Linked DNA regions of Alligator mississippiensis. The protein of the gene in region 3 binds, or shares a complex with, the protein of the main gene of each other region. Links are inferred from orthologs where the notes say so. Each region holds a gene or a part of one and is shown on either strand. Other genes may lie near its edges.

Region 1 (7,653 bases), on a different chromosome or scaffold from region 3:
AGAGAGCTACATAAACTCTTCCTAAAACATTGGGTTATAACATCCAAGACAGCACATCATATAAATAGATTTTGATGAAGCTTTCCTATCAGTATGCAATAAGACAGTAATGTGATGCAAGTATCATTAACCCTCTGTTACAGATGGGGAAAACAGAGACACAGAGCAGAGTTTTGTATGGGTTTTGGCTAAAGCACAGGATTGGTAACCCAGAGCTCAACTGGATTATAACTCTGCTAAAACCAGTATGGGTGATGTTGCTCAACCTTAATCTCTTTCTGCCTCAAATGCCACTGCACTATTTGGGTTATGATGCTTCCTTTCTCCCATGGTTTATCTGCAGACCATCACCCTATCTCCTGGAACCAGTTTTTTTTGGGGGGGGGGTTGTTTGTTTGTTTTGTTTTTTTATAGAGAACACTGCTAGGTTTGAGTTAAGAAATGTTGATTATTTCACTAAGAAGTGAAAACCATGTTGGTCCTGCCTCACTTTATGACACTGCCCAAGATGAATGAGCCCAACATTATTCCTCAAGCTGCTCTGTTGGGAAAAGGCTTGTGGGCAGATACAGATCATGCATTGCACTAGGAGAAAGGTGGAAGAACAAAATTATTGAGGGTTGTAAAAAAAAAATCAAGCTGAAACATGCTGGGGGTGACTGCTAGCTGAGACTGGATTCTTTTTCAAAAAGAGTTCCCATTTTTTCTCCAACAAGCAGTTGTTAGTCCTTCTTCAGTAAACCATTTTTGACAAGAGCAATCTTGCTAATTTTCACTCTTATCTTTCCCTTTCTCAGAAAGATTGTAGAGAAAGTTGTTTTGAGGCACATCTAGCATCAGATATAGTCCCTAGGCCGCCTCAGTCAGGTTTTGGCTTGGCTATACAGTACAGAGATTACATTTATCTCACTGGTTGTTCATCACCTCCTAGCAATGGGCAAAGACCAGACAGTTATGCTAGTTCCTTTAGATCTGTTAACAAGCCTTTGAAATCTTTGACTACCAGGTGCTGTTGACTCACCTGTGCACCCTAATTAGGTAAAAGATGCTGCTAGTGCAATGCCATTCTTTCTTATAAATATCTAAGGATGAATCTTAGCCATTACTCATCTGCCCCAAGAAATTGTTCCTGTAGGACTTCAAACATACCCTGTTCTCCTCCACTGTGTGTTTTCTGGACTCACAAGAATGTCTAAACACCCCTCAGTGAAGATACATGTTCTCTGCCCTGAAGGAGCTTATAAACTACAAAAGAAAATCTCAAGGCAGGTTGGGCTGTTGCACGTGCCATCCAGAACATGACTGGTACCTGGTGCAGTCTCACAGTCAGCAGAGAGCTGTGCATCTTGTTTTCATGGGCCTGACCAGGCTCACGGTAACAGCCCATCTTGCCCAAAGGGTGACAGTCTCTCAGCTCTCCAGTAAGGCCAGTGACTCCTTATTCACTTTGCATGGCCATCTCCCAGACCAGGAAAGACCCTCTGGCTAGTGGGGAGGAACCTGGGCAAGTGTGGCACTGTCTCCCTCTCTCTCCACTCACATTTGCAGGCAGAATTTCACTGGTCAATGTCTACAGGCTTCCTTGACTCATTCAGGGGGCAGCAGATACTGGCCAGTGTGCTCTACTTTGTGTCCCCTTGTTACTAACCTATGACCTCACTTCCTTTCCTGTTTTCTCTTAATTTGTCCCCCTGTATTTAACTGATGTATCCCCAGTGGCCTCCCTTATTAAGGCAGACATACAGTATTCGTGGTGGGCTTATGCCAGTGATCTTTCGGCACATCAAACAGGCCCACTTCTGACAGCCTCAGTTAGCAGCTCTTCCACAGAGATGTTGCCAAGGGTGCACCTGGCACATTTCAAGGACACCCACGACACCTGCCCCTTCTCTCAGCAGAGGGGGACCCTGGCATATACCTACCTTGAGTGCACCAGGCCCTATTCTGCCTCCTCCAAAACCTCCTGCTGAGGTTCTGGCTGCATTTCTCCCCTCACCTTTTCTGTTACGCACTGCTCAGCCGTGGCACCACCAAGCCCTGGGACCTCTCAATCAATCTCCTCCAGTTCTGGCCAATCTGACCAGCTACCAGACCAGGCCGGGGTAGAGGAACCCAGACAGGCATGGGGCTGTCTTCTTATCACCCCTCCGCTCCCATCTCTGGGCAGGGTTTCACCAGTCTGCATCCACACGCTCCCTCGACTCATTCAGGGGGCAGCAGGCACTAGCCATCATGCTGTGCTCCACGTCCCCTTCTAGATCCCTTATTAACCCGTGACCTCCCTCCCTTCCCCGTTTTCTTTCTATTTGCCCCCCGCATTCAGCTGTTAGGGTCACGAGCAGCCTCCCGGATTGAAGGGGCCTGCAGCAGCAGTTCCCAAACACTGACAAATTGCACGCTGCCAATTTAAAACGATACAACTTTAAGTACTACCAGCACATTTTTGTCATATAAAGTAATGACAATAAATCTGTTAACGCGTACCACCAACAGGTTGCCCGTGTGCCACTGGTGGTATCCATACCACAGATTGGAAGCCAGTGGCCTAGTTTTCTTAGGGACCCACGATTTTCTCAGCACAAGAAGAAAGCCACGTTCACTTTGAAGGAGCTTCTTGCATCAGAGCTTTGCTCAGGTCCTGGTTACCTGTCCCCTCCCCTCCCCCACAACACACCTGAGGTCTGACCTGCGAGGTGCTCAGGCCCCCGTAGCATGCCGCCCTGTTGGCCTCACGTGCTTGGGAAGCTGGGATACTGCCACGCCCAAGGGTCGCCGTACCTGGGTGAGCACGAAGAGCCAGTACGCCGCCAGCCACACGGAGCAGGTGGCGGCGCTGAGCGAGCGGAGCTGCACGGGCTGGCACCGCACCGAGAACTCGCGGCAGGAGGCGCTGTACTGGCGGCACTGCAGCGCGGTCCGGTCCCCCCGCTCCTCCATGCCGAGGCCTCCCACCGCCCAGAACGGCCCGCCACTCTAGCTGCGCCCGCCCCGCAGCTCTATGGTAAGGCACTTCCGGGAGCCTGCGGAATTCCGCGCGGCCTTGACTCCGCCCCCCGCCTTGGGACGTTGCGGCGGCGGAGCCCCGCCCCCAGAGTGACGCACGTGGGTTCGGAGGACAGAGGCACCACGTGGAGCTCGTGTGGCAGGGTAGCTGCAGCCTCTGGGCGCGGGATCCATTCGCATTGACCCCAGTTGAAAATACTTAGTGCTGGGGGGGGGCTCTACACGTGGTCGAGGCAGCAAAGCTCTTAGGGTTCCGTGCAAGGCTCACGTGAGTCTCTGGAACCTAGGCTGACAAGGTTCCTTGAGTGAATTTTATATCTTTTATTAGACCAACCCAAATGGTACCTCTGGAACCTTGCACTTGATTTTGCCAAGCGCAGGCTAGGAGAGAAGGGGTAAATACCCTCTCCTGAGGGCTGCAGGACAGCTGTGCCAGTGCTCCTCCTGGGACCAAAGCTGGAGGTCCCCTGCCTGGAGGGTCTTGCCTCCTTGCTCAGAGTCAGACGTGTTGCTATATTTGGGGTTAGGAAGGAATTTTAGCCTGTGATCAGATTAGTAGGATTGGGAGGGGGAGTCAGGATTTGCCTGTCCTCTGTGGGTGGGGGGGGCAGCCCTGTACAGGGAACTCCAGCATATATTGACATTTCCTAGAACCAGGACATTTGGTTGCCTGGTTCCCCTGCTTTACCTGTAGGAAATTAGGGCAGGGGTTGTCAACCAGGGGTACGTGTACCCCTAGGAGGTACATGCGGGTGGGTGGGGACAGAGTGCTGCCACACACCATCTTCTGCTTGTGCACAGGTGCTGTCCACGCAAAAGGAGACCTTTTGCAATCTTTTCTCCCATGCCTGATGCATGGTGTTTGTGCCTGAAAGCTTGCAATTAAAGAATTTTTTTTAACAAAATCTAGTTGGTTCTACCACAAGTCTTGATTGATATAATGAACATTAAATCTGCCATTACACAATTTCTCCTGCATACCCCCCAGAGATGTTTTGCATACCCCCTGGGACCCCCTGGTCTAGATGACCTCTGGAGGTCCCTTCCAGCCTGACTTCTCTGATTTTGTGAAATCCTTTCAAAGGTGCTGTGGGGGATCCATGCAGTGCCAACATCACTGTGTGCAAACATGATTCACAGGATAAACCCAGAGATTTCCTATAGGAATCCATAGCATTAAAAACTTTCTGTCCTGTTGTGGTCTTCCTAATTTTTTTTGCAGCTGAAAAATTGCTCTCTTGTTTTTCTGTAGTCAAAAAACCAAAACTGACTTGGCATTTTCTGCAGGGTGCCACAACTCTAAAAAGGTTGAGAACCGCTGCTCTAGGAAGTCAATTCTAAAGCAAACACATTCACTCCAGCGTAAGATTCTGGGAAAATCTTTTTCTACATCGGGGTGGCCAACCTGCAGTACAGGTGGCACAGGGAGCCTCTGTGAGCGGTATGCAGCAGACTGCTGAGGGAACAGGCAGCACAGTGTCAGAGAGGGCAGCATATTAGGCAGGGAGCACAGAGCAGAGTACAAAAAGAAGATTGGGCAGGGGAAGGGGATTGGAGTGGCACTCAGAGTTTAATTTGTGGCATGCCTGCCAAAAAAGTTGACCCTCAGTGTCCTAGACTAAAAAGCCATTCTAATGAAAGCACTGCTGCGTCTCGTGTATCAGCGTCTCTGCAGTTAAAAATGGCAGCAGGGGAACTTGAACTAAAGCCCACCACCATTTTCAAGCACAGGGATGCTGATACCCAAGACGCTGGAGGCTGTTGGAGCTTGGTACTTGCCATGCTCTGATGTGCTGGAATTACAGTGTGTCGGAACAGCCTCCTCACTCCTGTACAGATCCACTTGATTTTGCTGTCAATGTGAGAGTAAAATATCCTACAAAGAATCCCACTATTGCTGCTGTTGTGTTTGTCCAGGGGTCCCTATGCAAAGGAAAACTGGCCCCAATACTGTAATATACTTTGTGTAGACCCCTGCCTTACATCACCCTTTCCGTTGGGTTAGAACATGTCTCTGCTGATTTTTCATTACAGAACATGGTGCCCCCAGCAGGAATACTTATCACTGTGATCAGCCTGATTGTGTCCCAAAGCCTGAAGAACCTTTGTCTAGGAATGTCTGCTGATGCAACAACAATGGGAGTGGAACAGAAGGGTGCGGGGGGGGGGGGGGGGGGGCACTGAAGTATCAGTGCCAAGACAGCTCTGGGCATGGCAGCAGGTGAAGGGTGGCACTAGCTGAAGACTATGGCTTGGACTGGATAATACAGGTAACTGCTGAGAAGATGGAACAGAAATTTAGAAGAGAGGGGAGGGCATGCAGGATAAACTGAGGAAAGAAAATAATCATGGGGAGAGAAATGGAAAGAAACAAGTAGAGAAAATTAAAGTGAGTAAAAGGAAAAAGGGGCAGCTTTGGGGAAGAAATTCAAGTAGAGAGAGAAATAAAAGGGAACCAAAGTAGCAAATTTTGAAAGGGGAGAGTAAGGTGGGAGTTGCAAGAGATGAAGAAAAAATGATGTCCTAGGGATAGAGGGGAACCAGTAATGGGGGAGGAAAAGACATAAATAGGGGATACTAGGAGGGTGGTAGGGGGAGAGATGAAAACAAACAAGAACACAGTAAGAAGGAAGGGAAAAGAGAGGAATGGGGAAATGTTGGATGATGATAGTGAAAAGACAAAAAAATACTTCTTTATGTTTAGATATAGTTTTAATGGGAAGGAAGAGAGGCAACACCCTATTTCTGGGTAACACCTGATTTGCCTAAACCCCATATGGGTCTCTATAATTTGTATCTGTAGTGAGTCTTTTTCCATAAAGCTACTGGATTTGAACAGTGAAGAGTCTGAGAAAATGTAGCAGTGCGCTTGTGAGGAGGCGGACAGATGGGAAATCAACTGGGAAGGGAAGGTATTAGAAAGTCAGGGTAAGTATGAGAGAGAGAGACAGAGAGAGTGTGTGTGTGTGTGTGTGTGTGTGTGTGTAAAACATAATGTGTAAAAGATAATGAAGGGGGGATTTATTTTTTTATCTTATTCAAGGCCAAATCAGTTCCAAATTCAATTGGGCGAAGTTCCAAAATTTGACCAAGCAGAGTTCACTTGTTAAGTGTGTGTGGCTCTACCACCCTGCAAGTATCCTCCTTCCCAGACCCATCTGCCTGGGGCTTCACCAGGGGCATCGTACCTGCAATCCCCTGGCATTGAGGCCTTGGGGTTCACATGCCCCCCCCCCCTTTGATCTTAGCCAAAATGAACGAATGAATTCTTCCTGCACCAAAGCTTGTCTGCAAGGCAAGATTAGTTTGGAGTAAACTATCCTGTGAATGGGCAGGCCTGCCCAGCTCCTGCTCACCCGGAAAAGCGGGGTAAACCACCTTGCTCAAAGGCACTCTTAAGACCTCAGCTGTCTGAAGTGAGGAAGAGGCGGGTGGGGGTGACCGCGACCAACCAGCCATTCAGCTCTTCAAACAGAGAGCACAATGCCTTGAGCCATATCCTTTCCACAGAAGAAAGGCAAGCGCAAGCCATCCCGGGGGGCGTCGGTCTCAGGTGGGTGCTGACCGGAGAGAGGGGGAAGCCCTCGGGTGAAGCGCTGGGGGCCGCGGCTGTGCTGGGCCCGCCAGAAAGGGAGGCCTTCCCATTGTCCCCGCGCTGTGCCGGAGGAGGAGGATTGGGGGGGGCAGCCCTGCTGTCCGGGGGCGCGGGCAAAGGGGGGAGGATGTGTGCATGTGGATAAATGTGCGTATGGGTACGTGTGCGCACGTGTGTCCCGGGGGGGCGGCGCAGCCCCCGCTGCAGGGAAGGCGACTCGGTTGGGGTCGGGCCCGTGCGGGGTGGGGGCGGACACACCCCGGGCGGCGGCGCTGCCATTGGGCGGGGCGGGGCGGGGCGGGGCGCGGCTGCCGGCGCCGGCCGGGAGCGGGGAAGCGGCGCGGATTAAAAGGCGCAGCGCGGCTGCAGTAGTAGCGGCATCAGCATCAGCGTCAGTATCGCTCCCGTTGCGTCCTCCTCCGGCATGTCCCTGCGCAGCGGCTTCGCGCGGCTCCTCCGCAAGCAGGCGGACGCGGCGCTGCAGGTGCCGAAGCCCGGGCACTCAGTGGCGCTGGTCGGCGCCCCCTTGTCCCGGGGCCAGGTGAGCCGGCGGGGCCGGGCCGGGCGGTGGGAACGGGGCGCAGCCACGTGCGGCCCCGCGCTCACGGCTCCCCGATGTCTTTGTGTTGCAGAAGCGGCGCGGCGTGGAGCACGGCCCCGGCGCCATCCGCGGCGCGGGGCTCACGCAGCGGCTCCTCGGCCTGGGTAAGCCCGCGCGCGCCCCCGGCCCCCCCGCCGCCGGCCAGGAGCCAGCCCCGTGCCCGGGCTCCGGCCCCGCCCGCCTAGCACAAAGGCAGGGGCGGCGCGCTGGTGCCCCAGAGCCGGGACGGGCCGCATTCCTGCCCTCGGTTGTAGCTTTGGGGGCCTCCCTGTCCCCGGGGGCCCTTGTGCCTGCCTGGACAGCCCCCGACTTCTGACCGCCCATGTGTGCAGGCCCACAGGGGAGATGCGTCCCGCCCCCTCTACCACAAAGCTGGGTGTTCAGTTGCACCATGCCTATTCAGGGCATGCACTGGGCTTGGTGCAAGGGCACACAGTGTGGTTTAAAGTAAAAC
Region 2 (7,635 bases), on a different chromosome or scaffold from region 3:
CTAACTTAATGTACCTTACAGGCACACATCTACATGTGCACCTCCTTAATGTTAATTAAAAATGGCGAAATTAGACTAATCACACCTAAATTTGATACCTGCAAATGCAGATATCAAATTTAAGTGCAATTAGTTAAAGGACATTAACACACATGTAAACACTTGTCAACCATTACCACCAAAAGAAGCTCTGTGAGATTAAAAAGTTCCCAGGTTTAGGGAACTCCATGAGATTAAAAAGTTCCATCAATGATCCCACTGGCTAGAGCAGTAAGGGCCAACATTTTTGGCAGAGAAATTAGCCCTGCACCCCAAGTGTCACTACAATCTCCTTCCCCTGCCCAGTCTGCTGCTCTGCTTTCAGCTCCCTGCCCGATCTGCCATGTGTCACATACAGAGACTGTCCATGCCACCTGTGCTGCAGGCTGGCCATCCCTGAGCTAGAAAATGTGTACATCTGGCTGGCAAAGCTCAGCTAGGGGTCCAAGACCTCAGGTTGCAAATTCCAAACTTTCAGGAAGTGATAGTGATGTTATTATGTGATATTGCTCCTTGGCTGAATACTGGAGAAAATGCAGTTCTTTCTCTCCCATCTAAGCTCAATGGCATCTGTGTCTCTTGCCCTAAGCCCCCATGTGAAGTCTGTGGTGATACCCTTGAGGTGCCTCATTTAATGTTCTCAAGACTGGCTTGGGAGCTACTTGGTGTCTCTGTTTTTTGGGGGGTTTTTTGCTTCTTTATGATGGATAAGAAAATCTGGAATTTCTTTTCTTTCCAGGAGAAGATCAACACACTTATTTTATTTTAATCATTACCAATTCAGATTCAGAAGACTCTGTGGATGACTGGAGACTTCTCAGGACTAAACCGTCACAAGAAACAACTGCAATGTGAGCAAATAGGGATTGTGGAGAGGGACGAAATATTTTAAGCTGTTTCAAAATCTTTGGGGTCTGGCTTCTCTCTTTTATCGGCATGATCTGAATGCCTGACAAACCACTGACAGGAAACACCTCTTGGGAAAGATTCAACAGTTTTGCTCCTTCTACCATACTCAGAACACTTCTACATAGTGCTGTGGGCCTCCATCAAACAAAAAAGAAAGAAAGCAGAACTTGACATCTTTAATGTCTCCGAGGCAAAAGAACCAAGCAGGGGGAAAAAATCTACAACTCATTCTCAGAAAACTCCCCAGGTACTTTCTTCTTCATAAATTACAAAAAGAAGCATGGGTATATATATTTTTTCCCTGGTTAGCATTTGCCTTTAATGCTTCCTTGAAAATGCAGCAACTTTCCTTCTTTTCTCACCAAAAATCAAACTGGAGCATCCCAAGACAGGCAGTTACTGAACACCAGTGACCTGGCTTTCAGATCTGCTGATGAGCTGCTATAACGATCACCTGGAAAACATTCTATGGGCAAACTCTAGCCTCAGGCCTAAATATGTAGTGGTGTTTGAAATCAGGATTAAGTTCCCAAATTTCATAGCTGGATGTCTAATATCAAACTTCCACAGTGCATCCCAAATACCCAAGTCAGTGGCTGAGGTTTCTGAGCCTGATGGAAAAGCTCTTTATACTTGGAAAGTACTGGCAAATGCTAGAGACAACAGGCACCAAATGGGAGCATGTCCTAAGATTAAGTGTCCTCTGCTGGAGTGAGTAAATGTATTTGCTGAATTTTGGTCTAGGGTCTGACCCAGCTAGGAAACCAAGAGCATTCACTTCATCAGAGGCCTGAATCATGAAGATGGCAGCCAAAACCAAGTTTTGCAGTATCTGAGAGCATTGGAGATAGAGAAGCAATGGGAGCTAATGCCCGCCCTGCACTCAAATCTCTCCTTTCTCTGCAGTTGTTTTCTCTTTTTTTTCTTTCTGTGCCCAAACCTGCAGCTATAGCAGAAATGGAGATGAACTTTCTTAAAGCTCAGTGGGTCACAGTCCTGGAAGATGTGCAGCTGTTGCTGCTCGGAGGAAAAATGGCTCAGCTCCTTAACATAACCCTTCAGAGTTGCTGCTATAGCTGCCCATTGGCCTTGCCTGGGAAAGAGAGCTCCTCTGCTTGTTCCCATGATGCCTCAGACATATGAATTACCTGCCTGATTGTTCCCTGTTAGTATGCAGTCAAACACCAGGCTTGTTTAGTGGGGATAAAGGCTGCTACTGTTTGAGCCCTTTCATGCTGTTTTCCCATCACCCAGGGTCCCTTCGTTTTGTACTGAATGTCGTAGAATCACAGAAATAGAACAGTAGGAAATTAGGGTTGGAAGGGACCTCAGGTCATCTAGTCCAACCCCCTGCTCAAAGCTGGACCCCTTAAGAGAGAAAAAGCCCACGTGCCATTTGGGACCAGAACTTTGTGTCATCTTGCAAGGTCCCTTCCAGCCCCTTACAATCTATGAATCTATAATCTGCCCAGAACAAGCATTCAACTGCAGAAACTGATGTTTCCTTTGGTGTTACTAAAAGACAATCAGTCTGTCTCAAGCTCTGGAATTATGAGCTCCATGTCATAAGGCAAGGCTGTCCAACATCTAGGCAGCCAAGGGCCACACGCCTGTGGGCTGCACCAGAGGGGGCCACATTCTTCACTGGTGCTCGCTTCTGCATGGATGCCTCTGCTGCCTCAGACGCCCAGGTGCCCTAGCCTCACTCCCAGTTCCCCTGCTGCAGGCTCCCCCACTGCACCACCCCATGAGGGTGCACAAGGCCATGGGCTTCTCCAGCATGGCACCCTGTGCCACACTGCACCATATGGCTCCCTAGGGTGACAGCAGGAAGTAGAAGCCAGAGGAGGAAGAGGAACCTGGAGCAATGGAGGGGAGAGACGGTTGGGTGGGAGCCTGGGACCACCAGCTGGACAGCCCTGCTGCAAGGGAACTGGGGTCATAGAATCGTAAGACTGGAATAGACCACAAGAGGTTGTCTAATCCAACTGCTTACTCAAAGTAGGATCAGTTGATCTAAGGCAACATAAACAAATGCTGGTGTAACTTGCACGTAACAACTTCTAGTGATGGGGACCCCACAACCTCTGGAGGGGCTGTAGCCCAACCTCCAGTGCTAAACCACCCACTGAGTTTGGAAGGTCCTTCCTGGTAACTAGCCTAATGCTGTAATGTAAGTGAGTCTGTTACTGTTGCTGTCTACAGACATCACCTCATAAAGAAGAGTCTTTTACGTGGACAGTGGCTGAGACCTAGTGGCCTCCTGAGTGTACTACAGCTGGGGACCCCAGCTCAAGTGGGGGGTTACTCACAGATGGAGATTCATAGATTTTTCAGGCCAGAAGAGGCCATTGTCACCATCCTGTCTGATCTCCTGCGTAGCACTCTTTCCCCAGCAATTCCTGTCCTTCTCCGTGACAATCCCCAGCCTCTTGTGTTTACTTTTCCTATATCTCCCAGACAATACTTATTACAGGAGCTTTGTCCCTTGCTTCAGAGGATGATAAAAGTGGTGATCTTCCCTACTGCGGTGCTGTGAGCATGGGCAGCGTACTTGACCCTTTAGAAGCTGAACAGCTTGCGTGTGGCAACAACGACCCTATGGAGACAAGCCCCCTGAGTGACCCATCTCCCAGCTCAGCCTCACCAAGAACAGCACTTGCTGAGTGCAGCCCTCCTCATCCAGGAGGTGGGAGGTCAAAGAGACCACACACCTACTGCCTGCCCAACAGGAAGCACTCTCTGAGCAGATTTTCTCCTGTCCAGGCAGGGATGATCAAGACAGGATTATCCCCATCTAATGCATTTCATCTAAGTATTTGGCTAAACTGCTCTTAAAATCTTCCAAGAATGGGGATTCCACAACCTCCTAAGTAACCTCTCCAAAAGGTCATCGATGTTTGGGCTTTGGAGATGGAAGAGACCCACTTGGCTACAGTTCTCTTCAGTGTTACTACCTGGGTTGTTTAGCTTGTTCACTAAGAAGTATGGCTCAACAGGCCATCCCGTGTCTCTCCCAACAGTGCTAGACTGCCCTCTACAGTACATGAGTGTTATAAAGTATACTAAAGCTAACTCATCTGGCCTGGTTTTCATCAGCTGGACTGAGCTGTAAATAGGCACTTGGTCTCTCAGGCTGGGGAGACAAACGCAGCTAGACATGACACTGGGCACATTACTGCCTCATGTACCACTGGCTTCAGGCACCCATGAGCTTTAAGCCTGCTCATCCCATGAACTGCTTAGTTTGGGCAGACTTAACCTTTGCCAGCTGGAACATATCACACTAGGGCTGTGGACAAACCCCAGTAACAATTCCTCCTTGGCAAGAGGCCATGTCAGGAAACCCAAAGCATACAGCAGGGGTTGTGCTGTTACCTTTTGCTTCTTCCAAGGTTTACAGCGTTGCCTGCAGAGAGAGGCCATCGCACAGCTCATCCTTCTCTGGTGAGCGAGCAATAGCGGGTGTAACAGAGAGCCTGGGGCTCCCTGTTACTTCAAGGTAAAGGCAGCCCAGCCAGGGAACTCTGCAAGCTGGTTGCCAGGGCAAAAGGCTACTGGGCTATCAGCAAGCACCTGCGGGGGTCAGCGGACTGGATGCAGGCAGGGCCTGAGGAGCTTATAAGCCCAAGGCTGAGGCTGGCTGCAGGGAGTCTCTCTCTGGCTGCCACAGGGGAAGGAGCCCCTGCCCAGGAGAGACACCCAGGGGTGCTGGCCTGACCATTTGCTGCCTACAGGACCAGGGAGGCTCGGGGAACTTGAGAGGTACCCTGGCAGGGAGGCAGGCTGTGGCAGGTAAAGGTTTTCCCTCTTAAAGGGACAGAGGGCTGCTACTTTGTTATTATTTTGTTATAGCTTATGTTATGTTGTTGTTACCCTGGTGGTTTGGGAGGAGGCTGGAAGCGGCATGGAGGACTCATTAGTGTCCAGGGGGCACTTGACTGTCTTGTGCTCTGCCAGTGGCAGGCTCAAGGCTCAAGCAGTTATTGAGCCCAGGGCAGGCAGGGAGAGGAGACACAGCCAGACGGCGGCCGGGGGCCCAGCAGGCAGAAGCCAGGGGCCCAGTGACTGGAAGGGACAGATGTAAGCTAGTGCCTTAAACCAGGTCTGTCACAGTGGGCCCAGGCTAAAAGGCCTATCTAGATTAAAGGGGTCCCCACACAGGGGGGCTGAAACCCCACACAGGGAACAATGTTTCTGTAATACCTATGAGACATGGGGTGTGGTCAAGGGGAGGATTTTGAGCCATGCAATTAGCCTTTAAGGCAGGGATGGGGAACCTCTGGGCCGCCGGTTGGCTGGGGACTCCATTTCCCAGCGCCCTGCCCACATGGCTTGTGCCAGCCTCCATGGAGACCTCAGCTGCGCCAGCAGCGTGCACAGCAGAGCAGCACAGGGGGCTGCTCCAGAGCTGCTGGGAACATGGGACAGGAAGCTGGGGGGTGCTAAAACAGCCTTCCTGTCCATCCTGCAATGCTGAGCTGAGGGGGACGTGGCCAGGCCCTGGCAGGACACTTTGATTAGGAAGGGGTTTCCCCCCCCACCTCTGACCAGCCCAGCAGGGAATTGATAACACAGTGTTTATCACCCCTAACTCAGTGTTTATCAGCCTGTTAAGAAAACAACAGAGGGACATTACCAGCTACCTGTTGATTCTGCCTTTGTCCTGTCTGCCACAGCATGGACCGTAGCCAGCATGTGGCGTGCTAGCTAATGCTGAGAGGAGTCTGTGTAAGGCAGAGGGGACGGGGGGGGGGGGAGCAGGGAGAAGCTAGGCAGATGCTCTCTGCCAAGCTCCAGCCAGGGAGCAGAGGGGAGGGGCCCACTCTGCTGTGGAGCAGAGAGCTCCACCCAGCTCAGAGAGCATGCCAGGATGCTGGGGGAGTCTGGTTTAACTTAAACTAGCAAGGGGTCTGGGACAGACATTGAATAAACTGGTTTGACTCAAATCAGTTTAGTCTGATACTACATTCAACCAGGTTTATCTCAAACCAGTTTCAGCCATTTTCAAACTGGTTTATGTGCACTGAACGTCTGTTCTGTTACAGGTTTAAACCAGTTTCTGATCACTTAAACTGGTTTATGTGTAATGTCTGTCCCTAGCCTATGAGAAACTGAAGTCTCACCAGAAGTGGGCACAGGCTGGGCTTGCCCACTTACAGCCAGACTCTGTTAGACGTGTGGAACCCCACTCTCCCAATGGGAGTTGGGTCAATATATCAGAGGCAGCATTTTGCCCCTACTTAGCATTTCTCTGTGCAAGGAATTATTTATGTCTGCAGTTCACAGGTAGCACTGGGCCTTCTCCAGTTCATTTTCAAGCTCAAGTAAAGTACTAGTGGGATCTGTGTCTGAAGAGAGAACCAAAGTCTGCCTCTCCATCTTTCACCCTGACAGCCAAGGCCAGCCACAGACATGAGACCAGAATGTCTTTGACCTAGAAGCACAGCTTTGTTAGCAGGGGCACAGTATTCACTTTATCCCAGGGTGACTTACTGTAGATACAGTAAGTGCTGTGTGTCCTCTCTATAGTTAATTTTCCCCAAGGTACCCATTACTTCATGCAGATCAGCTCTCTTGCCACCTACTAGCTAGGTGCTGTAATAGCACATATTGCCAGCCTGGTCATGGGTCTTCTTTTTAATGGAGTAAATGTACTATAGGGTAAGATGTAAAGTAGATGACTTTATAGTGTCAACAGTTCACACCCTAAGGAAGCAGTGAAAAGGCAAAAGCATCTCAGTGCCTGGGAACCATAACTTTCGGTTACTTCCCTGAGCAAGCAGAGTCTGCCAAGGGTCACTTCCAGCACATAACTATTCCTTGAAAGACAATAACAGGTCCTTAGGGGGGACAGTAAAAATGCTTTGTCCTATATCAAGAACCCATTGCCAGGACTCTGTCTACACAACATCTGCAAAGGAGATTGACGCTTACATCCAACAGAAATCCTACCTTCACAGAGTTTGGCTCTGTGACCAGCCACCCTCCTTGCTGAGCTGGGAAGCAGTGCCTGGAGCGTGGCCAGTAGTTATAACAGGAAGCTGGGAAGAAAAAAGAATGTGTCATCCCCAGTTCTTGCAGCCCTGCCTAATAGCTCTCACTATGCACTCACAGCTGTGCAGACTGAAACCTTGCCTCACTTCACTGACTGAAAGGTAGTGATTGGATTTTACTCCATGATGGTACAAGTCATTTTCATGGGAGTCCACCTCTCCCCACCCCTAGGTGGGAGGCTCCAGGGTCTATCCAGTTAACTCTCAGCCTAGACAGCATTACCAACTGTGCCCTAAATATAGCTCTGGGAATCCTACCACCTCGAACCAGAAAGACAGATAGATCCATTCTCTAACCCTACGCCTAGCTCAAGCTGTCCCCATTAGTCCCCACCTGAGCAGCCTGACCTCGGGTACTAATTTGGAGAGGCCCAAAATATGATTGCTAAGCTGAGATGAGAGATCCCTATCTGCCGTATGCTCCACTGGAGCAAGAGACACCTTCCCGGCCAGTCTCCTGACTTCAATGCTGTGAGCCCACCCACCCCCAACCCCAGGGCTGGGGGTCCCATGGTCTATCCCGCTAACTCTGAGCCTGGACTGCATTACCTACTGGTGTCCTAAACATAGCTCTGGGATGGTTACAAACAGGGCTCAGTATAATTAGGTTGGACCATATTTTAATAAATTT
Region 3 (7,525 bases):
CCTGGGTGAGCTCCGTGCAACCCTCCTAGTGCTATGACTACCATTAGCACAAAACAAGGTTTGCTGCACCCACTACAGGCAAGTAAGAAGAGAATCTGTCCCTAGCTACCAGCCTTGGTCCACAATCTCTTGGTTTTTCACATAATAGATCTGATTTGTAAACTCTAAAATAAACACTTGAAGGACAAAAAATAAAGCAACAGAGCAAGAGGTGTTGCCAGAGGCAGAGATCCAATGGAGCCAGGCAGCCAGCTATTTGTTCTGCTCACTAGTGCTGCCTTCTCCCCTTAACACAGGGCAAGTGGAGGCTGCACAGAGCTCCCCGACTGCAGAGTCCCGAGCTGTCAGCTGTCCTGGTCAGCCCGAGCTGTCAGTCTGTCCTGGTCAGCCCGAGCTGAGGTAGTTTCACTAAAGCCGAGGCTCTGGTCCCTGTCTGGATGTGTATGATATTCAGCCAGTTTCTCTTTCATTTGATCAAATGGCTGGATGTGCTCTGCAAGGTAGGAAGTGCCAAGAGCATGGTGAGGCCCAGCATCCAGGCTATAACACAAAGAGTCTTTGGTTGCGGGAGGAAATGGCCACCTGTTACTGCAGGTCAAAGTCTTGGCCCCATCAAGACACTGCAGGTAGGAACCTGCGCCCATTCCCATGCCCACTGTCTTCAGTTCAATTTCTTGGCAGGTTTCTTGTTCTTCCACATCACAATCACTATGAAAGTCCCTGAGAGAGAGAAAGAAAAAATGTGAAGAAAATGGCCAAAAACCCTATAAGTACTACAGCTTTCTAAACACCATTGCTATGCGGAACAGAACCACTTCACAGGATGAGACCAGGGCAGCTCCACTGTGCAGGAGCTCACAGCTGGAGTAGGCAGGGCTGTAAGAGAGGTCACGTGGCAATTGCTTCCAAGTAGCTGGGCCAACAGTGACCAACCAGCTTCTATAACAGATTTCTGATCCCAAAACAGAAGAGAAATGTTACTCACCTATGAACAGCAGCAGCAGGAGCCCTGCAACCACAGGAATGGTAACAGAATATTCCCTGGGCAAGAAGTATTTGTGAATCCCGTGATTGCTATCAATGAAGGGCTGCAAGAAACAAAGAGGGGCATCAGCAAGCTGGGGCAATATGCAGCTACTTGCCAGCACTCAGACATTCCTGCTTGTAGGGACAGAAGTACAAGCCTTAAGACTGACAGTTAACAATGATGCTGATGGATAGAGAATAGAGCCAAGGGGCCACGAACTCACCCCTCCAAAGCTTGTCTTGATTTCTGACTAGCTGCCTGGCACTGAACAACCTGCTCAACCTGGTGAGCGTCTCCCATGCTTCACTGGGCAAAACAGAGACAATATTTGCCTTGTTTTAGACACAAGGCAAAGATCATCTTTCACAGAACTTAGAACAGACTGAGCGTTACAGAGCAGCACGTGGGCTGACAGCAAGGCATAGGGACAATGAAAAAAACCCAACCATACTGAGTTTGCAGCCGCAGAACAACGAGCTGAGAGGATGTCAGAAGTGAGCACCATTCACAGCACGGCCAGGAGCTGTCAGGGATCCACATGCCAAGCAAACTGAAGCAAGTCTCCAGACTGGCCTTGCAGGCTCAAAGAGACGCTTCCTCACCAGAGATGTGGGTTTTCCACAAAATTTTGAATTGGAAAATTTTCTGGAAATTTTTCCAATGCCCTAAATAGAGCGTGATCTGATTTAACACGTTTATTTGATGTATATCAGTAAGCAAAACTAAAAAAACACCCCATGTTAATTTTATGTCTCGACAGCCACAAGTATTTTAACTGGAATATTTAATTAAAAAAAAATTAACTACAACACACTTAATGTGATTTAAATGTTACATTCAAACAAATTCAAAGCAGAGCTTTGATGTGGAAAAAAAATTACTTTTATTGGCATACTTGTAAAAATGTAAAGGCAATATACAACAGCACGTACTTCCCTTACATTGTTTAAATTTAAGAAAAGACAGTGGAGGCACTGAAAAATGTTGACACACTAATTTTAGCACACCCAAAAACTGTGCATGAGATGCCATGACTTGGTTTAGATTTGACCTGCACAGCCAATCAGGTGAATTCATAACTTGATTTCTGGATTGGAGGATTATGTGAGTGTATTTACACATCAATAAAACATATGTACTCTCTCTCACACTTCCTAGGGATAATCACCCGAAACACGCGAATGACAACTTTGACACTGCCGAGCTTGCCTAACAGGGCATTGGCATCCCTTCGTTGTTACTAACGAATTTTAGGAAACGATGAATTTTTAGAAATGGAAAATTTCCCACGGAAAAATAAAGCGCTGGACAGTTTTCCACCCCACGATGCTCCTCGCCCAATTCCCTACGCGTCTGTGAGGCTTTCCAGGACTGCGATCGGCTCAGTCGCTGCTCACTCGACCCAGGAAACGGGGGACCCCAGAAGCGCGCGGCGATGGGAGCGCGGCCCCTATCTGAAGCCCCCGAGCCGGCCGGGGGCTATTTGGAGCTGCCAGCGACGGCCAAGGCGGGCGCCTGTGGCAGCTCTTGCTTCCCCCTGACTAGGAAGCCCAACGCGGGGTGAGGCGGTGACCCCTCGGCCCCTCCAGCGCTGCCAGCTCGTGCCCCGCGCCCCCCACGCGCGGGGGGGGGGGGGGGGGACAGGCAAGGCCCGGGGCAGCCCCTCCCGCCGGGCCCGTACCAGCGCCACGATCCAGATCGTGTAGTAGGTGAAGAGCGCGAGGCTGAAGGCCACCAGCCCGAAGCCCACCAGCCGGTCCGTCGCCGTGGCCTGTGGGCGGGAGAGTAGAGGCGGTCAGAGCGGGCCCGCCCCGAGCCCCGACCCCCCTCCCTGGCCTGGCCCGGCCCGGCCCGGCCCGGCCCGGCCGCCCTCACCATGGCCACGCGCTGCGCCGACCCCCCTACCACCGCCCCGCCCACTTCCGGGAGCCGCTGCCCAATCCACGGCCGGGATTTCGGCCCCGGAGCACGACGGGAGCTGACCCCAGCCGCATTGCACCACGGGAGACATCATCCGCGAGCCTTTCCTTTCCCCGGGGCATGACGGGAGGCGCCCGTCCCCTCTTTCGCAAAGCTTCATGGGAGCCGTAGTCCCGCCTGGCGCGGGGCCTGATGGGAGATGTAGTCCCCAGGCTTAACCCCTTGGCTGCCATGGGGGGTAGGGAGCTGTCCTGCTGCAAGCGAGGGCCGCTGGCAGGTGGCAGCGATGCAGGGAGTGCAGCCAGCTCGGCACCTGCACCCTGGGTGGCCCTGCCTGGAAAACCTTTTAGTATCGGGCCCCAATTTGCCAGAGAGCATGAGAATAATAATTGCACAAAGGAAAAAATATTCCCCTTTCTGTAATTTGCCTATGCCCGTGTCCAGCCCTTCGCAGGACGGAGCCTCGTGAGCCGGCCAGGCTGGAGCTCCGCTAGCCCAACCCGTGCACCCGCAGAGGGTGGGGTTCAGCCCTGGGGCGGCTCCGTGGGCGCAAAGGGGACCCTACAACCCAGCCCCGCGCTCCTTGTTCCCCTCTGCCCTCCTCCCACCAGGTCAGGCCCAGCAGAGCCACAGCCCCCAGCCATGCGCCTCCCCGCTCTCGTCTCCCGTTTCCCCGAGCAGGATGGGCTAAGCCCACGTGCTGCCCCTGGGCTGCTGCTTGTTCAGTGGGGCGAGCGGGGGTATCCAGGTGAGCCTCTGCCCCTGCCTTGTGGAGAAGGGGACGGCCAAGGAGCCTCCAAGGAAGGTCCTGGTGCACAGGGGGCAGGAGGTCTTGGCCTTGTTCAGAGCCCATCAGCTTCACTGGCATGATCCAGTGATGGCCATGTGTTGAATAGTCAAGCAAGGAGGAAGCCCAGCTGCTCGGGAGCCAAACTGAGCTCAGCCACAGTGAAGGGAGCAGAAAACACCCATTCAGAGACAGTCAACAAAGCCAGAGGTTTGTTACAGCCAACAGGCAGGAGCGGGGCTGCGTCCCGCTGGAGAGGTTTCTCAGGAACCCCAGTGCAGACCTATTTGCAGAAGCGACTTGCAGAGGTGAAAATCAGTGGGGCTTGGCATCCTTAATCACTTAGGTGCTTTTGAAAATGTTCCCTCGATCTGTTCACAACATACACGTAAAATCCTCCAACGTGGCTGGGGGGAGCGGGGGTAGGGCAGCATGCAGGAAATTTGAGAAAGAATTTGTGACGCAGGCAGGAGCCGAGCAGTTCTGGAAAGAATCCGGCTCCACCCTGCCCAGCCCTCCGTTTCCTCTTGCAGGGCCCCTAGCTCCCACGGTAAAGCCACCCACTATGTTGGCCATGGCTGACGAGAACAACAAACTCAATTACAGCAATGCTACACACGTTCTCACTGTTACTTATTACGGTAAGGAGATGCTGTGCTGGGGGCAGAGTGTCTACGTCAGGAAGCTTGCCACCCTGATCACACTGCATGAGATAAAACACTGGAATTCCCCAGCTGAAGACTTTAAATCTGGAATAAGCCTGTCCATCAGGGTAGGATGTGGCAATTATCCTGGCAGTGGATGCCCCTGCATGGCCAAGGTGGAAGACAGAGCGTCTCAAGGGGCTGGTTCACCTTGGGGTCTGCAGAGCCAGGGAAATGCTCCGGTTTGGAGCTCTGCCCCTAGGAGCCATGCAGGGCTATACTTGCGTTTTCCTGCAGGACAATGGGGGTGGTCACGTCTTGGGGCTCCTGCCCTTCCCCTTGGATCTCCCAGTTCTTCAGTCTTGGCTCTTTTTAGCTTTTGGGTCTGTGCTTACCAGTGCAGAGGCAGGTTCTGCACACACATAGACAGACTGCTGTACACAGTTCAAAGGCACATCAGGGTCACCCAACCCCTGTGGGGGCCAAGGAGCATAAAGCAAAGGATCACCACATTTGGGGGTAGGGATGCAGGGGCAGAGACCAATTCAGGGCTATGAGGGAGGCTTTTAGGGCCTCCAAGGCATTGGAAGCTGCTCCGGGATTCCTCTGGGACGTGCTGGGGTGGGACTGGGACAGGTTCTTGTGTGGGGGCAGCAGCCACTCTCCCTAGGTGGTGCTAACACTCCCCCTGGTCTGTCTCCAGCCCAGCCCAGCAGCCCCTCAAAGACTCTGGCTCATTTCAACTGCAGATCCTTGCATTTTGCCTCTTGCATCTCCAACCATGCCAGCCCACACAAACTGGTGATTTTTATTCAGAGCCCCTGTGCCTGCCCCAGCAGCTGCCAGGCCAAGGACATGGGTCCTGCCCAGGTCATAGCAGACCTGCTCAGTGCAGCTGTAGCCCTCTACCTTCTGTCCTCTAAGCCGGAACTTTAGCCCCAACCTCCACGAAGGTACAGCAGAAGCCACATTCTCTGGGGAACAATAGAAGCACTTTCCCTTCGCTCATAAGATCTGCTTAGATCCAGAGCAGTCTGTGATTCACTTTCTGCTGGCATCTGGGTGGGAAATGATGAGATGACCCAGGGAGCTGGCCAGTCTTGGGCAAGGCATGTCTGTATGGGGATTTTCCATATTGCAAATGGTTGGAGTGAGCCAAGAGACCCAGCTGCAGACTGGGAGGCCTGGACCGTAGTCCACTTAGATTCAGTTACACACAAGAAAGCTACAGAAAAAGCAGCACATGAGACGTGCAAGGGCAAGCACTCAGGACCTGGGAAATGGGGCACTTTGAGCAAGCCATCTTCATTGCCCCTGGACACTCACCTTAAGTTCTGAGATCACGCATCGCTTCTCCCCAGAGTCCTGGCCTGGCTGTGCACACGGCCTGGCCTGGCTGGTGCTCACTGCACAAGGAGTTGGGCAGTACTTTGCTTTCCTTTTCACCAAAGCATCTCTGGCCACAGGCTTCTATGCCCTCCTCCCCATGCACAGGGTTGCCAGGATCCCCATCACCCCTGAGCAGCGGCTCCAATGCAGGTCCTGCAACACCATTACTGGCTGGATGGCAAAACCCAGCCAGATTCCAGCTCACCCAGCAGGCAGCAGAGTCTGAAAAGAGGTTCCCCCTTCAGCAAGGCTGGGGCAGCTCAGCTGTTAGACCAAAACGCCTAGTTTCCCTTGCTGTGGTTCACAGGTGGCTGGGGCAGATTTCGCCAGCTCCATACTTTACACTTACACCTCTGGAATTGCTTATGGGGCTGGTGCTGCAGACAGAGCACCGACATCCAGGGGATGCTCCAGCTGGGATGCTCCAGGTGGTGGCATTAGACCCAGGGGTAAGGAATTGCTCAGGGTACCAGGCAGGGGAATAAAACCACAGCAGATGGTGGAAAACACCAGAGTGCAAGAGTCCTGACAAAACACGGCACCGTGTGCGAGTGGCCACAGGTCAGGTGTGAATGTCTCTATTCCATCCCCTCCCCATATGTAAGCCAAGGGGACAGCATAGGATAAGAAGCCAGCAGCCAGCCCTGCACCCCATCTACCCCTGCCCCACCTGTGGCCCATATCATGCTTAGAAGCTCTTCGGAGTAGGAACCATCTTTCTGTTTAGCTTTTGCCCCTGGTCCTGGCTAGGGTTTCTAGGTGCCACCCCAGTGCCAGCAACAGAGATCTGATGTACATAGTTACGGCCAAAGGCTCCAGAGTTCAGGGTGTGGGGGAGAAGTGTTTCAGCTTCCCATCAGTCAGTACTAAACATTTGTCTTTCTGCGAGCAGCAGCAACAATGGGACCTGTGGAAAGAGATGCTCCCTAGTTTGGTAGCACCAATCTGCTCTCCACTTATTTTCTAACCCTCAAAGAGGCAGGACCAAGGCCTGAATTCTCATGGGACTGCCTGTGGTTTTGCTCATCCCTCCCTCAAGGGCACATGAGTGAGAAAACAAGCCTCCCACTTCCTAAGAAGTTGTTGTTTCCCACCAAAGTGCCACAAGTTTTAGAGAAAGGGTTAAGGTCAGCTCACTGGAAGGAAACCGCATGGAAAGCATGAACTCCAGAGGAGCTCAGATGCAGAGACTTATTTAGCGGGTTTTGATGATTGCAAGAACCATGCAAGAAGATAGAGCCCTGCTTCAAAAGCACTGTCACCCAAGACCGGCCACCTCCTACACAGCAGACAGGAGCAGACTCTGGGAGTTGGGCCTTCATCCCTGCCCCAGGCTACCTGAGCCTTCACATCACTGCAGACAGGCCCAAGACTTGCCCAAGCTGGCTCCTCAAATGCAGCCTTGAAATGCTTGAACAAAACGTTGATGTAGAAAAAGCTGAGAAAGCAGGCAGGAGCCTCACAGCACCCTTTGTGGGGACACCTATGCTTTGAATTCCTGCAGATGTGTCTGCAACTGGCCACATCAATGGCAGGGACTTGGTTAAACCTTGACAAGTGTCCAGGCTTGGGCTGCAGCTTGAATTTAAGCTGCTGAACAAACCTAAGCAACAGCTGGAGGCAGTTCAGCTAACATCATCAGCCCTTAGCAGCAGCCCTGAAGAATACAGTTACATTTAGCTGATCAGTATTAACCCCTAGGGCCATTAGGTAACTTTATTAGTAGCATGCAAATTTCCTACTAACACCGATTTAACA
Region 4 (6,111 bases), on a different chromosome or scaffold from region 3:
TACTTCAGTGGGTCAGCGTCCCAATCCTGACTTGTTCTCAGTACTGCATCTCCTCAGTCAATGTAAAGCTAGCAAGGGGGAGTGTTAGAAGGCATTTTTGAGCCTATTGCCTTATTGTCAGCTGTTACAGGCCACTGCCAGTTGGAATAAATTAAAGCAGCTGCCAAACTACTATTTCATGGCACTTCTTGCCTGAATAATTGTGCCAGACCTGCTGATCTAGAAGGAAATCATATTAGAGTGACATGGATACCCCACCTTGGTTTTTTTTCTAAAAAGGTGTGCTGTGTTGGATGTGCATGGATGACTACCCTCAAAACATGGCTGCAGTGATCCTAACAAGTCTAAAGCTCACATGGATTTAAAAAAATCTTTGCACAGACAAGTTTGCTGTTGCACAGTGTTTTGATTACACTGCATTTTCATAGCACAGTGCCAGAAGCATTTCATGAATAAATCTGTTCAACCTAGCAACGCACCTAAAGACAGACACTGCCATCTTTAAAGAGCAGCCCACATTACTGTTTATTATTAACAACCTGAGTAAGTAATTAAACTGTATCTCAGTCAGTAGATGGAGTCATTCAGGGCAAAGACAAACACCCACTGTAATATGCTTTCACACTACTACAGTGCACCTCTGGATTTTGAGGGGCAAGGACAAATGTACTTAATTATCTTTCCTGGCAGAAATTAAGCAGTCATACACAAAGTCCTCTGTAGATCATTGTGAAGTGCCAGGAAGAGGGTGATAAAGGTCATCATTATTGAGAGAGAGCAAGGGAGGAAGAGACTATCCCAGTTACATGGAATATAATATTAGTGTACAGCTAAGATAAGCTACACAACTAGCACAGAGGCCCTGTGATTGATGAGCTCACTGGGCAGTGCCCTCGGGCTGTCTGCCTGCCTTAGTTGTGTCTAAAAAGTTTAATGCCCATCCAGGTCCACAGGTGGAAGAACACGTACACGGGGATCGTAACAGGAAGCAGCAGACTGTAGAAACATAAGCTGCTGGTGCTGGTGCAGCCCTGTGGGAAGTTTTCATCCATGGTGGCCGAATAAAACAAGCCAACCAAGGACAGCAGCGGGACAAGCACTGTCAGTGTAGGCAGTGACAGGAACATGACTACTGCTCACACATGAGCCTCTCAGTCTCTAGCTTTGCTCTCTGGGACAGCACTATCTAGCTTTGCTTTGACTCCTCGCCAGTGGGGTGAGGGGGCTCGGCCTCTATCTTCCTCGCCACCTGCGGTATCATGTTAGGGATGCCGTCCACCACCGGGTAGGCAATGCCCAGCTCCTCGTTGATCAGCTCGTTGGTGGATTCTTCATACCTGCGTGAAAAACGAACAGGTCAGGGCTGCGGATTCAAGGAGGAGAGTCCCTGCACACCTGTGTGCATATGTGTGTGCGTGGGTTCACACAAGTGCGTACCGGAGCGGGCGCTTGGACAGCGGGCACACGAGCAGCCCCAGCAGCGCGGGGTCCAGCCTGGCGGGCTGCGCAGAGCCCCGGCCGCTGTCCGGCCCACGCGTCCCGCCCGCCGCCACCTGCAACCCCCTGCGCAGCGCCGCAGCCCGGCCCAGCATCGTCCCACGCGCAGCGACTTCCGCCCGCCTGCTCGCGCCACTTCCTGCGCGCTGGGAACCCGCTCCGCCCGCGCACCGCCCCGCGCTTGGGTTCCGGGGGGAGGGGCCGTGTGTACACCCCCACCACCCGCGCCCGTTCACTTCATCTGGTACCTGGGCTTGGCGGGGGGGGGGGTGTTCTCTCTGTGTCTCTCCCTGAGGTGTTCCGGGCTGCAGGCTGACAGGGCCCGGCTCTCTCCCGCCAAGGGCCCAGCTCTGCAGTTCTGTTTCAGAGCGGCTTTGAAACGAGACCTACAGGTGTTTACGGAGGAAGGCCCTGCCCTGAGTCTGCACGGTGCTGGCCTGGACTTTTGAGTCCGGCGGCTTCGGTCATGTTTTCCCTTTGATTCCCAGTGAATAAAGGTGTGAAGTCAGGAATGTCGGAGTTGAAGCGTTCGCGGCGGGGAGCAGAGGCACAAGCAGCTGCTTTCACGTCCAGACGGGATGGATTTTGCATATGCAAAAGGTCATGCTCCCGTGTTAGTTGGGAAGCTACCCACATACTGGTATTTTCTGATGTCAGCATTCCTCACATTAAGAAGCACCCACTCCCAGCCCCTGGGGCACTGTGCTGGAGGCAGCAGGGTTCGATCAGTGGGGCTCAGTCTTTTTTTGGATCACCTTGGAAAATCGCAGCTCTCTTCTTATGCCTACAGAAAAATAAGAGGAGGGTTGGGTTTTTTCCTGTAGTCAAGAGCTCGGGAGGCCACAGTGGCAGATACCTATTTGACATCCCTGGGTTTATCTCATGAATGGTGCTTGAATGCCTCTTAGTGCTGGCATGGCAAGGTCCCACACACCACCCTCAAAAGGAGCTCGTGGCCCCTTGGTTGGGAATTGCACTAGATTGGGGTGCTCGGCTCCTAGCCAGTCGGCTGAATGTGGCCCATGGAGTCATGGCATCCAGCCCATACAGCTCCACAAGGGTCAGGGAGGTTGGTGGTGAGGGCGCAGTGGCAATTAACATTGCAACCCCTCTCCCATGCCAAGTTCTGGAGACCCATGTGGCCAGATCAGGGCTGGGTTATGCTCCCTCATCCTGCATGGCTGGATCATGGCAATGATGCCCCCCTTGTTCCCTTCCATGTGGCCAGGACCTACTTCTCCCACTGGATCGGGTCCACCATCCAGATCCAGCCCATGGACAAACCAAGCCCAGCCCATCTGGACCATGGGGCAGAAAGGTTGAGCATAAATGAACCTTGACTAGGTGGAGCCCATCTCCTTCTCAGTGACTGTCTATACTATGTTCTATTGTATGTTCTACTATGTTCATGCTTCTGGGCTTTGCTGGTTGCCACATGGGGTAGGAGGGAATTCCCTGTGACCTCCCCCACTCCCTTTCTGCTACATGTGAGGGCCGGGTTTTTTTAAGTCTTTCTCAGAGGCATTGGTTACTGGCTGCAGCCAAGACTGGGGACTTTGAGGTGTGCCAGTACTCCTGCAGGAACTTAAAGCTGGAGGTTCCTGGCTAAAGAGTCATGCCCCTCAGACTGATCACCTTAGTTGGGGGCAGGACGGAATTTTACCCCATGCTCAGACTGGTACTGACTGTGGGGGGGTTGCCTTCCTTTGTACCCCTGGGGGGTGGGGGGCTCTATCTGGAATCTCTTGAGTGTATATTAACAACCTTTTATAGAAGCAGGACATTGGCTGCCATGATCCCCCTTTTTTATCCACGGCAGGTTATTGTGTTATGTCTTGTGTTGTGTCAGGGTTGATGGTAGTTTTACAAAGAGTTTAGGTTATGGATTTGTATAGAATGGTTTGGATAGGGCAGGGGATAGAATGGTTCTTGTCTCAGGCAGGGGATTGGACTAGATGGTTAGATTAGGCAGTGGTTTTCAACCTGTGGTCCACAGACTATGTCTGATGGGTCCGTGAAAGATGACTGATCAATCAAAAGTATGTGAATAGCCACACTTACAATTTAAAGGGGTCCTCACCATCATTTGAAATGTCCAAAGGGGTCTGCATTTTCATTCAAATTGTTTTAGGGGTCCTCAAACAAAAAAAAGTTGAAAACCACTGGACTAGGGAGTTGGAAAGCGCCATCCAGCCTGACTTCTCTATAATTCTATGCTATTCCTGCAGCGTGGCTGGGGCCAGGATCTGAATGTCTCCAGGGAAAACCGCAGCTGAAAAGTTCCCAAGCAGGCCTGCTTGTGTGATGCATGCTCAAGGGCATGGCAGGCTTCTGAGGGGCTGGAGACTATTCCTGCAGTTTTGATATTCATCGTAAGTTCCTAACTCCCTCCTGGCCAACCCTGTGTCATAAATACTTGCAGGACTCCTGGAACAGGGTCAACCTATGCCCCCTGATCCAGCAATTGCTTGAATGTTTCTTGGTCAGTGTCCAGCTGGAGTTGGGAAATATAGGAGGAGGGGGGGGTAGAATAAAAAACACTCTAGAAGTGATGCACATAGATCATGACTGAGAGAAATTAAAGCAACTAACTTTGAAGGAGTGAAATCTGGGCCAGGGTCCCTGAAGCAGCACAGGTGGCTGTTAACATCTGTGAAACTGGCAGCAGTGAATGTGTTTTGGGAGTATGTGCAATTGTGCAGTTTGCAAATGCTGGTTTTGATTAGGATGCTGCCTGGCCTCAGTCCAGGACAATTTTTTTCATATTTGAGATGAAAGTCCCAGTTCAGGGAATCACAGGGGATGCCAGAGCATAGTCCTGAAACTTAGGACTGTCTCAAAAAATCCAGGACCATTAGTCACATCAAGATGGACTGAATAGGGAAAGGTATGCATAGTATAGGGAGAGATGCTACCTGAATGTATTAAAGACGTCTGTGAGGAAATATCCTTGCATTCTTTTAGACTTTTTGGCTTATGTGACTGCTACACACACTATCAGTCTTCTGTAAGATTTCCTAATTCATCTTTAATGATAAAATATTATGTGCCATAAGTCTGATATCAATGTTTAGTCCTTGGTTCTTAGTGTCCAGCCAGCTTATACATTTTTATAGTTTTATCATTTCTGTACCTTCATGACTACAATATCGCTCTGACACTACCAAAAGAACAAGTGAGTTATTCTTATTCCCATAACAACAAGAAGGAGGTCTAACTGTATTCAGCAACTCACATTCTAGGAGTACAAAGTTTTGTGCAGTAGAGTAAAAAAAATACAACTCACATGGTCATGGCACAGTATAATATATAACAGACCAATTTAAAATGCTGAGTATTTAGTACATCAAATTAAAATGTGCTAGTACCTGTAGTTTCCAATAGATGGCATCACACCATTTATAAAGTAATATTTAAGGTTAACTTTGTAGGCATTTACAGTAATGTTTCTTTAGTTTTCTGGAATGGCCAGTGTCTCCAACCTGTTCTTCTCCTCCAGAAAGATCCAACAGCTTTGGAAACAAAATCAGAATCCTGCTTATCCTTTAAGCAGGAATTTGCACAGCAAGCCACAGTGCAGGCTTGTTCCTTGTGTACACATTTGCACGTGGGCGTAAAACATTACCAAGTTAATTAATGCAGGTATCAGTACTCCACCAGGTTCAGTCTAAGCAGTGACTTCCTGTGCTCCAAAGTGCCCCTCAAGCATGCTGTGCTGCTCTGAACAGCTTGTTCCCTAGACTGGAAACACTATAGCTGCATCTGTTCAGTGCCACAGGCAGGCTAGTTAGGGAATAGCAAGTGAATTGGCAACATCGCTTAACAGTACTAATTAGTTAGCCTGAAATACTCAGCAAATGTGGCCACCTGGAGCAGTGCAGCCTGCCTGAGGATGTGGCTCTGGAGCCTGGTAAATGTACTGTTGTAGATATGGCTGAATCTAAATTGAGGTCAGCCAGACAGAAGCCTGGGAACCCATGTGCTGAGAGATGGAGACTCAGGCAGGAGTTGGGGTCCTCTGGCTCTGTTGGTGGAATTGCCTCCTGTGCCCTGGGGTAGGACAGTGTGACAACTGTAGATATTGTAGGGCTTACTGCCACTGCCAAGATTTCATTTACCCACCGGCGGTGACAGGATGGACCTTTATCTCGGATCACCTGGTCTGCCAGGAGACTGATCTTACTTTTCTCGCCTGCCACAGCTTTGTTGGTACTGTTAATAGGAGGCAATACCCTGAGATGATCCTTCAGGTCTTGAATTCTGTCTTCTTCTGTAGGGCTCCAAACCTCCCCTTTACCCCATCCTAGCCACTCCAGGTGAAACTCAAAGCTTCTCTTTGGCTTGGTATTATGCTCTCCGACTCTCTAATGCATAGTCCTCTGATGACCATAGTCTTAACCCGATATGCACCCACATCCAGGGGATGGCCTTAGACTGGGCTCAAAGACCCCAGAAACAACTCAGTCTCTCTTTAGAGTCAGTTCATGTCCCCTTTACTTTGGGATCAGTCACTCGTTTTCCAAAACAATTAATCTAACACTGCTCATTACAGATCTGTGTAGGTCTACTGGTGAGCAAACACAGTCCCTTGGTAGGATCTCTCTTCCGAGCAAA

What was found.
Region 1: DPM2 (region 3) and PIGH share a complex: the UniProt entries of both Homo sapiens proteins name them as parts of the glycosylphosphatidylinositol-N-acetylglucosaminyltransferase (GPI-GnT) complex. The link is inferred for Alligator mississippiensis from reciprocal best matches to the Homo sapiens genes DPM2 and PIGH.
Region 2: DPM2 (region 3) and PIGC share a complex: the UniProt entries of both Homo sapiens proteins name them as parts of the glycosylphosphatidylinositol-N-acetylglucosaminyltransferase (GPI-GnT) complex. The link is inferred for Alligator mississippiensis from reciprocal best matches to the Homo sapiens genes DPM2 and PIGC.
Region 4: DPM2 (region 3) and PIGY share a complex: the UniProt entries of both Homo sapiens proteins name them as parts of the glycosylphosphatidylinositol-N-acetylglucosaminyltransferase (GPI-GnT) complex. The link is inferred for Alligator mississippiensis from reciprocal best matches to the Homo sapiens genes DPM2 and PIGY.

Annotation. Positions count from the first base shown.
Region 1 is NC_081825.1:230,815,466-230,823,118, reverse strand, and holds the start of PIGH (phosphatidylinositol N-acetylglucosaminyltransferase subunit H), read right to left. Parts: upstream 3,021-7,653; 5' UTR 2,938-3,020; coding exon 2,779-2,937; intron 1-2,778. Other genes in the region: ARG2 (arginase-2, mitochondrial), read left to right, coding at 7,023-7,139, 7,231-7,303. UniProt on the Homo sapiens protein: Part of the glycosylphosphatidylinositol-N-acetylglucosaminyltransferase (GPI-GnT) complex that catalyzes the transfer of N-acetylglucosamine from UDP-N-acetylglucosamine to phosphatidylinositol and participates in the first step of GPI biosynthesis.
Region 2 is NC_081828.1:44,547,278-44,554,912, forward strand, and holds the start of PIGC (phosphatidylinositol N-acetylglucosaminyltransferase subunit C), read left to right. Parts: upstream 1-4,626; 5' UTR 4,627-4,743; intron 4,744-7,635. UniProt on the Homo sapiens protein: Part of the glycosylphosphatidylinositol-N-acetylglucosaminyltransferase (GPI-GnT) complex that catalyzes the transfer of N-acetylglucosamine from UDP-N-acetylglucosamine to phosphatidylinositol and participates in the first step of GPI biosynthesis.
Region 3 is NC_081835.1:57,214,413-57,221,937, reverse strand, and holds the start of DPM2 (dolichol phosphate-mannose biosynthesis regulatory protein), read right to left. Parts: upstream 3,005-7,525; 5' UTR 2,906-3,004; coding exon 2,903-2,905; intron 2,799-2,902; coding exon 2,709-2,798; intron 1,089-2,708; coding exon 986-1,088; intron 721-985; coding exon 662-720; 3' UTR 1-661. UniProt on the Homo sapiens protein: Regulates the biosynthesis of dolichol phosphate-mannose. Regulatory subunit of the dolichol-phosphate mannose (DPM) synthase complex; essential for the ER localization and stable expression of DPM1.
Region 4 is NC_081825.1:151,545,350-151,551,460, forward strand, and holds PIGY (phosphatidylinositol N-acetylglucosaminyltransferase subunit Y), read right to left. Parts: upstream 1,187-6,111; 5' UTR 1,128-1,186; coding exon 912-1,127; 3' UTR 501-911; downstream 1-500. Other genes in the region: PYURF (protein preY, mitochondrial), read right to left, coding at 1,187-1,337, 1,438-1,592. UniProt on the Homo sapiens protein: Part of the glycosylphosphatidylinositol-N-acetylglucosaminyltransferase (GPI-GnT) complex that catalyzes the transfer of N-acetylglucosamine from UDP-N-acetylglucosamine to phosphatidylinositol and participates in the first step of GPI biosynthesis.